Linked DNA regions of Nothobranchius furzeri. The protein of the gene in region 2 purifies or fractionates together with the protein of the main gene of each other region. This does not show direct contact. Links are inferred from orthologs where the notes say so. Each region holds a gene or a part of one and is shown on either strand. Other genes may lie near its edges.

What was found. The genes of interacting proteins can lie anywhere in the genome.
Region 1: the proteins of klhl15 (region 2) and nudcd3 purify together in Homo sapiens (co-immunoprecipitation; 3 studies listed by BioGRID and IntAct, with this or other methods). This does not show direct contact. The link is inferred for Nothobranchius furzeri from reciprocal best matches to the Homo sapiens genes KLHL15 and NUDCD3.

What each region holds. Positions count from the first base shown.
Region 1 is NC_091746.1:39,650,380-39,656,144, reverse strand, and holds the start of nudcd3 (nudC domain-containing protein 3), read right to left. Parts: upstream 4,069-5,765; 5' UTR 3,906-4,068; coding exon 3,708-3,905; intron 1-3,707. Other genes in the region: mrps24 (small ribosomal subunit protein uS3m), read left to right, coding at 4,598-4,672, 5,390-5,467.
Region 2 is NC_091747.1:63,365,126-63,371,149, forward strand, and holds the start of klhl15 (kelch-like protein 15), read right to left. Parts: upstream 3,513-6,024; 5' UTR 3,285-3,512; coding exon 3,224-3,284; intron 2,060-3,223; coding exon 1,972-2,059; intron 1-1,971. Other genes in the region: eif2s3 (eukaryotic translation initiation factor 2 subunit 3), read left to right, coding at 4,349-4,417, 5,338-5,401, 5,491-5,618, 5,834-5,955. UniProt on the Homo sapiens protein: Substrate-specific adapter for CUL3 E3 ubiquitin-protein ligase complex.

The DNA of each region.
Region 1 (5,765 bases), on a different chromosome or scaffold from region 2:
ATGTGAAAAGCATTACAGGTGTTTTTAACGCAAAGCTGCTTTCTTTACATGTTGTCAATTGCTTTTATGCAAATTAGCTTCTAAATACCGGCATATAAAAATACATGAATGCTGCTGTGCTTGTGCAGCTTTAATAAAATGGGGTTTAGGCTGTAATATTTGTGTTAAAACACTTATTTTAGGCGATCTTCTCCCGAGGTATCCTTGCTCTTAGCTGTAACATGTGTGTTTTGTTGCATAATAAGCTTTCTAAGGTCTTAAAAATCTGGTTAACGTCTCAGACGAAGAACAGATACAGCAGGGGTGTCAAACTCATTTTAGCTCATGGGCCACTCTGAGGGAAATCTAGTCCCAAGTGGGCCAGACCGGTAAGTTAAAAACAACTTCAGATTGTTTTCTTTGTTTTAATACAATCAATATAAAACAAGGCTGGAGTCTGAGGACAGTGTATCCAAAATAGTAAATACAACATCTGAAGTGTACTTGAAAATTTGAAAAAAAAAATAATAATAAAAAAATCAATTAAAGAAAACATTCCTTAGTGATTCAAAGAACTTACAAATCACATGGCTAGATAGGGCTGGGCGATATGGCAAAAATAGAATATCACGATTTTTCCAATATTTTATCACGATTTCGATTTTATCACGATTTTTTAAACATGGATAGCATAACTTCAATTGCGTATTAAAGAAGAGAAACATTGAATAAATAAACATTTATTCATATTAGGGATAATCAGCACAGTGCTAACACGCTTATATTTTAAACTCACACCAGAGATGATAAAAGCCCTGAGAGAAACAATTACAAAAATCAGTTTTTCTCGTTTTTCAAGTAACTTAACATAAATTAAAATCGTAAACATATTTAAAGTGCAAACATGTCAATTGCATACGTATTGTGCAAACATTAACTTGTTCAAAATACTATGTAGCTCCCAGTTGCTCATGTAGTGGATAGTTAAGCTCAAATACGGCTCTGATGTGCGGCTGGACCAGAGATCGCTTGTGGTAGCAAAAAACTGCACATTCTGAATATTTTCTGCAACAAGTCTCTAAATAAAGTAAAATTTTCCAGTGCAGATTGGAGACAACCCATAGAAGCACTGATTTGATCTCATTTCAGAGAAAAATAGAACAGGTCAGATGCACCTAATATATAAAATTACTAACAAACTCAGGAATCTTTCTTTGCTTCACTATTCTGGTGCTGAAAATATCACTAATGTGGATCAAAGGAGATACACAGATGAATGCACCTCTTATTATTTGGAGACTACATTTACTGCAGCTGGCAGAGGCAGAGATCGTTTCTATTGATACACGGAGTTTACAGAATCATTTTAAATGTTAATAGGGGAAGACTGCAGGAGGGAGCGGTAAAATACAGGGGGTCCCCAGCAAAAACAAGAAACTACGAGTCTGATGAAACCCGCTGGTTTTCCATCAGCCAGTCACGGGGCAGCTCCAACGACCCAGTGACCGAGCTCAGTCCGGTACCGACACCGGCTCGGCAGAGGGTGAACCAGCCGAGGTGACGTCGTGCTCTGCTTAAGAAGCGGTGTTATTTTCCTGCTTCAGAAGAAGCGTCCAACGTGTTTTTACGCTTTCTCCGAGACATGTCACGTCACTAAGTTGTTAGCGCCGCGCGCTAAGGAAACCCTGCGTTCCTCTTCGGAACGAAAACCTCGTTGTCGCTCAGCCGCGGCGAAGCCATGTTTGTTCGCACACAAATGAAAACAAGCGGGGCACTAATATATTACTATGACTCACTCTGATTGGTTAAGGGTCAAACAAAGGCGTGTCATTCGCCTGAGGTAAGTTCCCTTTTCATTCAGAGGCAGAAATTCAACAGCAGAGCTGTGAATCGTGATAAAACGGTCTCTCAAAAATGACAGACCGTCAGATGTGTAGATAGTAAAACGGTCTACAATCGTCATATCGCCCAGCCCTATGGCTAGATCAGTTTCATGCAGCACTTCAAATATATTTGACTCATTTTACTTTACATCTTTTAGCTTTCACCAGCACATCAGTATCAGAAGTCACATCCTGAGTGGCAGCCAACTTCAGGATGTGATTCAAGTTCTTGTGTGAGCCTTGAGCGCAGCTTTGTTTTATTTATACTCATTACAGAGAAAACTTGCTCACAAGTTCACTCTACCGTTGTAAGGTATGAACATAAAGTTTACACAACCATCTCGCGGGCCGGATTTAACCTGCTTGCGGGCCGGATCCAGCCCGCGGGCCGCGTATTTGACACCCCTGAGATACAGACTCGGGCTGTGCTGCGGTAGCACACGGGTTGCTGAGGTCACTTGAACAAGCTTTCAGGTCAACCAAAGCAAGAGCCGTGTCCCCGTCTACAGCGACAAGTCAAAAGCACATTCATGATGCTGGTTGGGGGGCCTCAGAGTTGGTCGTCGCTAGTCCTGTTGGGGATGTTCATGAACAGAACCTCAGAATGTCATCATGGACAAGAGGATGTCCAGTTTAGGAACGTCAAGATTTCATCTCTGCTTTCTGCAGAGGATGTAGTGTAGGTGTTGGCTTCATGCAAAGACCTTAAACATGCACTGGGATGGTTTAAAGCGGAGTGTGAAGCAGCCAGATTGAGTCAGGTCCTCCAGGTTGGGAGGGAGTCTCTTCCTCAGGCTCAGGCATCCTGGAGTCTTGCTTGTAAGAGGCGGTGGGACAGAGGACGAGGTGGTCCAACGGTTAAGGGCTTTTTCTGTTGAGACATGGCTGCTGTGTCAGCATGTCGTGGTAAAGAATAAGCTGCTGAGCCAAAAGAAAAATATTTCAATTTAATGGTCTGTTTATATTCCAACTCTCAGCTATGGTCACAATATTTGCTCAGCCTTAAGAGATAAGGAAATGATCTCCATCACCCAGGGGGAAGTCAAAGACCTGGGGCTTCTTCATACCTAAACGAGTCAGCCAAAGTGATGTGGGTACCTGACTGGCTCCTGGGAGGTTTTCCAGATAAGTCCCACAGAGAGGAGAATTCTGGACAGACCCAGAACGTGATACATGGTTATTTGGATAAAAGGTAGAAAATAGAAAGATGGATGCATCTTTTAACTTTTCGTATGGAATATTTTAAAAGAGCTATTAACAAAAGTCTGATAAAATATATAAAACTACAGTTTCAGATGACACAGTTAACACTGTGAATGCAGCCTTAGCATATAGAAAACTGAAAATTATCCGTTTTTTTAGGTATGGTGTCCTGGAAGGGACAAACTAAAAATAACTGCATGTGCTTTACACAGCTTTAAAGTGAGGGTTTACAGATCATGTCCTTAGATACTTCTCCATCAACCAGACCGTCATGTGCTGCTGTCCTCTATCCTCCCAGTCTGCCATTATGAACACTTATTCCCCTCCAGTTCTCAGATGGATTTTACAGACATGTTTTATTCGCATGTGATTTAAAGCTAGATGTAGATGTTACTGCTAATATAAAATAGTATGTTGTAACAAATAAGTGATCCATGCAAAAACCTCTCTGATAACCTTTGACCTAAATGCGTTTGAGTCAAAACTTTGTTAAACACAAGATTAGACATTAATTGTCTAATTAGAAAACAATTCTGGTTAACTTTTAATTAAAAAACACATTTTAGAATGCTAAACGAATGCTGAATAATTATTTTTGCCATGTAACAATATAACATGGTATACTGACAGACTATAGCTCACCTTCAGCACCATCTTCTCCGCAACACCTGGGGGGAAGCCCATCCTGTCGCTGGGACCAGACAACAGGCGATAAAAGTCTGTTTTGCGATACAAAAATCCGAAATAAACCTGGAGAAAGTCCTGAACGTTCCCAACGTGCTGAAGGATCCCAAGCAGAGCGTTGTCATACATCTCAGTCATCTGCAGCGGTGACGCCATGGTAGCTTTAAACCTTTTTTAGACTTTACAAAAAAAAAAAAAACTATAAAGTCTTCTGATCAACAGCGAGCGACCAGAACTGAAATGTGGGACTTTAAGACAGAATAAAAACAACAACAACAAATGGTGCCAGCTGAAATTTCTTAGCGACTGTTTCCTTTTCCAGAACAATTCACCGTTTTCCGGTATAGTGCTTTCAAAATAAGTTCCCACATAAAATAAATAACAATGATAATTTATATTTTTAAACCTAGATGGGTTTTAAATGTTTGGAAGTCAAACTAATTTACATTTAAATAGTTATTGAACAATTATTAAAACATATTTCCTAATTATAAAATACAAAAAAACTGTTCTTGTAAACCAAGTTACGTATACAATGATTAAATGTCTAAGCATCATTAGGGCTTAAAATAAAATAAATAAAGCTTTACATTTCTGTGTTTTACAACTAAATGTGACTGTGACGATATTTAAAAAATATTTTATATTAACAATATCCGGTTGGTACAGCTCAGTTGTTGTACGGTAAGAACACAAGTATACAGTAATCATTCCGGACATAGGTAACTTTCGGCGTTTAAGGGGAAAGATCTTTTTTTTATTTACATAGCAAGCTGAAATCATTACGATATTTACATTTTTATTTTTTGATAGCTATAAAAATTATAGTTGGTCTGTAAAATAAACAAATGATAGTAACACCTTCCCTCTCCGAGTTAAACATGGCGGCGTCCTTGACTAGCACAGCGAACGTGAGGCTGCTGGTAAGGAAATTATCTAAAAATGGAATGTTCATTATTGTTATATTGAATTGTGTGTCTCTTTAGACTCAGCGTAACAATAGTAATGCTCTAATCTGGACAATGTTAACTGTTGTGCATGAATTTACTGGTAAACTGTATTTTCTGTTTACCAGATTAGTGTATTTTCAGTAACCGGTATAACTAGTGAACACCTAGCTTTGTTTCAGAAAATTAACTGAAGGAGTTTGAAAATATACATAAAATGTGGAAAGGAACAACTAGATATAAATCCTCGATCTTCAAATTATTGCTCAGGATTACGGTTTTGTTCTTACAGTGATATTTAAGATACTAACAAATTCCACAACTTTTTCCATTTATTCATAGATTTCGTCCTCATTTTTACATCACAGAAATAGTGGCTGGAAAATAGGATATGTGATGTGACATAAATCATTTTAGTCATAGTCACATAGTTATTGTTTTTATGCAACCAATATTGAAATTACATATGTGATTGACTGAAGTCTTCAATAAAAAATAAATAAATGAATAAAGATAACTGGGAATTTGTGGGCAAAATCCTTCATGATTAAGGAACTGGACGTCTGAGTATTTTCAGTTTTTGAACAGAGATCCTACATGTTTAAAATTTTTAACAAGCCTCTAAAATGCTCTCTCTTTTTTTCTGCACATATTACAAACGTTAAATGGTCTGTATACCTGCTTCCCCTCCAGAGTTCCTTTGCTTGGTCCAGCTTGTTGAGCGGCCCAATAGGAAGCAGAAGCCTCCATGTAACAGCTGTATGCTGCAAGGTAAACTTTATTCTAAACACATCAAGCTGCATCAATCATCTTTGCCTGATTTATGTTATTATTTAGTCTCCACTTCAAACTCCACGTCATGACTGTTTTTACAGAAGTCCACACACCATGTCTTCTAGGGATGTGTATTGCTGAAATTTCGGCGATTCAATACATATCACAATACAGGGGTGACGATACAATGCATATTGCGATACATTCAGTCAGACATTATTAGCAATTTTTTAGACTGAATTGTAGGAATATACAATAAACAGTCCAAACTGATATGTAACATTTTTAACATGAG
Region 2 (6,024 bases):
GAAAACAGGCTGAACAGCTTCAGGTTGGAGAAATACAGATTCTTTTTGACTAGATTGATAAGCTAACTGCTAGTCCCAGCAGGTGCTCAGCGCTGTTGTCTTAAGGCTCAAACATATCAGTAATACGGCAACTACCCCCCCCCCCACACACACACACACACACACACAGGAAGTGCTACAGCTAGCTGCTCTTAAAGCAAAGATGCTAACAGTGGCCAACGCTGTAAAGCTGTTTAGATTAAACTTGTTTAAATGCAGCAGAAACACCTGGTTCTCTGCCTTGCCTAACTAGCCGTTAGCTCATCAATCCAGCCACAAATAATCTGTTTCTCCAAACTGATGCTGCTCCCAGACGTGAGATATTGGTTGTTTGTTTGTTTTTTTCAACAGAAAAATCGGAACCGTCCCTTTAAAGAGCAAGTCACTCCAAATCAACTTTTTTTGCTCATAAACTAAATAAACGAGTGTCTGGTCGTGCTGTAGACATGTGCAGTCGACACTTTAGTGCATCTTAGCTCAAGTTTAAATATTCTGCCTAAAACGGTCAGCGTTGCACCGTCATCAGGTAAAAACTCTGCACTGCATTGAATTTAAATCTGCCATCGCTATTGGCTAAGAGGTACTCTATGATGTTAGATGGTACATTATGATGTCACAATGTTGTGTGTGTATTTGTTAGCGGCTCCGCCCTCTCGCTATGCTATGCTACAGCCTTTGTTGCATTTTTCAAACAGGAAGTGGGAGTGGAGTAAGAATCTGGTAGGGGGTGACTTGCTCTTTAAGCTCAGAGAATAAAAGTAATTACGTCTCCTTAGAATAAAATTCTGAAAATGTTTTTGTTTAAGAACCAGTTCCAATAAAGTTTAAAGGGTTGGTGGGAACCGTATTTATGTCGATGAGGAAACACGAGTTCTGCTAAAGGTGGCCCGACTCACCATTGACTGCTAATACAGCTTCTGTTAGAATAAAAACAAAATCACGGATGGTGACGGTCTGAAGTTTTAACTGAACATGATCCAGATCAGAACCAGCGGTACCAACAGAACCAGGAAGTTTGAACTCTGGGATGTTGATGAAGAAGCAGGTGAATGCCAGTAAGTTTGTTCCGTCTTTGCTGCACATTTATCTCCGTTAATAATTAAAAACACAATAAACATTGATCGTTTAACACAACAGTTCTCCTTGTTTGGGTCGGGCCTGCGCTGCGGGTCATGAAACCTACAAACTGTAAAAAATAATAAATAAATAAATCTGATTAAGGAGCTTCAACTTTTCCTCAAATTTCAACGTTTTCTGTAAAATATTTATTAAAAACGTTAATTATGAAAATTACTATATTAATGTTTTTGTGTCTAAATCAGTAAATATTTGGGTCTGAGGGGGTTTTATTGTAGGTCGGTCATTTGTGAACCCCGCAGATTAAGCCAGGATTTTGCTGTAAAGCATCCAGATTTACTTTTATGTTTAGAAAACACAAAAACAGTTCTTAAAGAGCAAGTCACCCCCTACCAGAGCCTAACTCCACTCCCACTTCCTGTTTGAAAAATGCAACACATGCTGTTGCCTGGCAGACCGAGAGGGCGGAGCCGCTAACAAACACACACACACAGACTCACGACAGCATTGTGACATCATAATGTACTAGTTTACATCATAGCATACCTCTTAGCCAATAGCAGTGGCAGATTTAAATTCAAATACAGGGCAGAGTTTTTACCTGACAACGGCACAACACTGCCAGTTTTAGGCAGAATATTTAAATTTTAACTAAGATGCACTGAAGTGCCAAACTATTGACGACACGTGTCTGCAGCACGATTAGACACTCGTTTATTTAGTTTATCGGCAAAAAACAGTAGATTTGGGGGTGACTTGCTCTTTAAGGTTGAATAAAAAAGGCTGAAACCCCAGACTAAAGCCACCAGGAAGGAGATTATTTGTGTGGAATTGAGACGGAGAGCAGCGTCGTACCTTTTGGAGCCCGGGCCAGCGATCACAGGCTGTGACGTCTGAGCGCTAAGGGGCCGCTCGCATTTCCTGTGTTTATGTTTCCCCGGTTCTAACAGAACACACAGAACAGCAGCATCAGGGTCAGATCAGCTGATCCACACAGAAACAACAACAAACCCTGCAGGTATTTAAAACTGTCAAACAACAGGATCTCATTAAGCATGAACATTTAAAAGCAGTTTGAGAAATTAAAGTGATTTTTAACGTTTGTTGGGTCTGGGAACTCGTTTCAGTCGTGATTATAAATGTTTCAGTTCTTCTGACTTTAAACTCATAACCAAGTCACAATAATGAGTTTTAAATGCCTGACTGTTCTCTATAAGAGCAGCACTGATGCAGCTTGCAGAACCGATACCAGTTTAGGGTTTTTCTGCGCAGCTCTGACCTGATAAGACTGATTTATTAAGATTTGTGTGAAACAAAAATCTGCAAAAATGAAATATTGTTAAAAACTGAAAACCTGATAGATAATTCAAGAAGGGAGGACCATGGACCGTTCACAAAGTGAGCTCAGATTAATTAGCATGTAGCAGTGGTGCGTTCAAGGACCCAATTTAAGAAAGGAAGAAAATTAGATTTTTTGTGTCAGGTGGACTGTTGTGGTCACGTGTTTCCAGGTCTGCGCATCTGAACCATCTGAAAATATGATAATAACAATATTTATGTAAACACGCTGCTGCTCTTAGTTCCTCCAAAGCGTCTGAGCAGAAAACTTCTCCATGATTTATAGTTTTGGGTTAACTTCAATTTATTCCTCTGATGATAAATAATGTGCGGAATAATACTGGTCTCCAGGTGAAAGCCTGTCTGAGGTGCGAGGAGACGGACAGGTGAGTTAAACGTGTCAGGAACTGCTGTAGTTAGAGCCTGAGAGCCAGATTCATCACGGCTGTCCCCAGACCAGCAGCAGGCTCGGATGTGTGTCTGAGACTGGAGCTGAAGGCTAACACACCTGAGCAGGTGTGTTTATCCTCTTTGGTGTACCTCCACCACAGGGGAGGAGGTTTTTAACTCGAGCTCCAAACAAAGGCTCCACTCAGCGGCTCTGACTCTGCTCTCACATCCGGCTAAAGCCGGAGGCTTTATTCTGCCTCTGGGGTGGAAGCGTTGACGTTAAACGTGTTAATTACGTCTCTGTGGTTAAATTAGCTGCAAGCAGGCTGCGGTGACCGGGGAACAGCTTTAGCTTAGCGGCTAAATCCAACCGTCTCACCTCGGCGGTGCGAATCCCCACAACCCCTCTTCGTCCAGGCAGCTCTGGCTCCGTCAGACATGAAGTTACGGGTTCGATTCCGCGGTCAAGAGAGCGGACGGCAGCGCCGCATGGCCATACTTTCTCTGTAATCCATCAGCCAGACGGAGATACCCCCCACACGGCTCCAAATTAGACGGGTGCCGAGCCGCAGCGGTCCACAGGATTTACAGACACCATCTTCTGCACCGACGTAATTTCCCTTCATGACGGAACTGAAGGGCGGCGGGAGAGCGGACAGTCAAAGAGTGTACATGAGACAAGATGGATCACTGCAGTCTAAAAAACAACAGCAAACAATACAACTGTACTGAGTTGTTTGTTTTGTTGTGCACGTCTTACTTTTTAGATGATATAAATATATCAATATAACGGATCGCATTTTATTACACATTTAAAATAAGCTAATTGATACAAGAGGTATTTCACCACATAGATATCATATATTAATATATGATATGTATGTTTCACCACATGTAGGTTCATCAGAGACCTGGAGTTAAGTTTATACACAAATGTAAATAAAATTATTTAGAATCAATATATGCCCATTCAGACTGCAGGTGTAGACAGCTAATTAAAAATGTCACATTTAGATTTAGATGTCCACATAAATATTTTTACATAGGTTTTCAAAAACTACAAACTTGTTAAGAAGACTACAAACAGTATTTGATGATGTCATATTTTAACGACGGCCTGGCACTAATTATTTATCTAGGCTTATTTTTAAATTGACGTTAATTAAACCAAGTTTTGTGTTCAGTAGCAAAAAAATCTAAACTATTTATTTATTGGTTATAACGAGTAATGATATAATAAATTGTTCTTTTACGAACGTGATAAATTGCATCAGCATTTGAGAAAGGACCCGTTTTTCTTTCAGTCAGAGAAATCATACGAGATATTTTTAAATATATATGTATATAAATGAAAGTGGACATAATTTACACGTTTTTTGTTAAAGTTACAGTTTTTGTTTGATTTTGATCAGAGTAAAACGTTTTTTGTTTTTTCAAAGAAACGGTTTGGTAAATTGATCAGGCATTCGGCGGGGCTGCCTCTTTCATTCCCTTTCCAGCGAAGATGGCGGGTGATGAGTCTGGAACAACGCTGGGTCAGCCTCATCTGGCCAAACAAGACCTCAGCTCTCTGGTGAGTCTCGTTTCAGCGGTTTCTACACACCCCTGAGTTCACGTTTCAGGCTGGCAGCCCGTCGTTTAACCGAAAGCAATCCGTTAACGGGGGGAAATTGTGCGGTGAGCGGTGGCCGGGGCTGCGCTGCCTTCACCCGGCACATGACGGCAGGCCCGGCGGGGTGGAGAGTTCCTAAAGCACGAGCGGAGCCTCCAGGTTCTTTAAAGCGATTTAGGCGTTCACGTGTTTCTAAATTGTCGCTATTTTGTGTTTGCGACTGTTAAGCTCAAAAATTAGCTTCAATATTAACTGTCAGGAAGTAATTTTGGTGACGTATTTCTGGGTGATGTTATTGTGACACTTCAGTGATGAAGGCGGTGTCATAAACCTTTAATAACAGGGTTATTATGGTGGGGATGGGATTAAAGATCATATCTATAAGGTAGAAGTTAGGTAACGACTTCCTGTTCCGGTCCAGAAGAAGACAAATAAAAACGTTATTAATCTAAAACTGTTTAAACCTTTAGATGTTACAGGAATCCACCATGCATTTCCAGATGTGACTGCAATAAACTCATGATAACACATTCCTGTTATTTCTGCTGCATCTTGTTCCAAACTCTAGTTTCATCCATCAGTCTTTCAGGAATAATCTCTAACATCCTTAATTAATTATTAGTTTTTTCTTTGGAGGTTTTATTCTGCTGAGGAAGCAGGAAGCTGCTCGTCCTTTCTGATGGTCTAACGCGTGGTCCTGGTCAGACCTGGAGCTCATTTTCTCTGATTACGGACCTTGTCCCAGGCTGCTGTGATGGGTTAGGGTTAGGCTCGTCTTTGTTCCTGATAATCTGCAGGATTAACCCCAGAGACGCCGCTTGGCTCAGTTAATCTGTGTTATTTTGTACGTTTTGTCAGATCTGGGTGTTTTCTTTCGGCAGGACGTGTCCACCCTGACGCCTCTCTCTCCAGAGATCATCAGCAGACAGGCCACCATCAACATCGGTACGAGGCCGGTGTGCCTTCTGTTGTTTTTGTTTCTCTGCGGGTTTAAAGCGGTTCTGACTCGGTTCTGACTCTGTTCTGACTCTCAGGCACCATCGGTCATGTGGCCCATGGGAAGTCCACAGTAGTGAAGGCTATTTCTGGCGTTCATACCGTCAGGTTCAAGAACGAGCTGGAGAGGAACATCACCATCAAGCTAGGATATGCTAACGCTAAGGTGAGCGGTTCCTGTGCAGCGAGGATGGATCCGGGAGAATCCTCTGGGAAAAGCTCTCAGGGGGCGTTCTGGGTCTTTATTTCCTCATTAACGGCATTATTGAATAAAGGAGAGTTAAATCTGCTTTATTTTGAAATCCTGAGAGCTGATGATTCATCTTCCTGTAGACGGTTCTGTTGGAACCTTGTCATTCTGATTGTTTCCTGTGGCTGCAGATCTACAAGCTGGACGACCCCAGCTGCCCCCGGCCCGAGTGCTACAGGTCGTGTGGCAGCAGCACTCCTGACGAGTTCTCCACGGACCTCTCCGGAACCAAAGGGAACTTTAAACTGGTCCGGTAAGCGTGGCGCTGTCTCTCACTCAGTGGTTCCTAACCTGCGCTCCCAGAGATCCGAGTCGGTCGGGA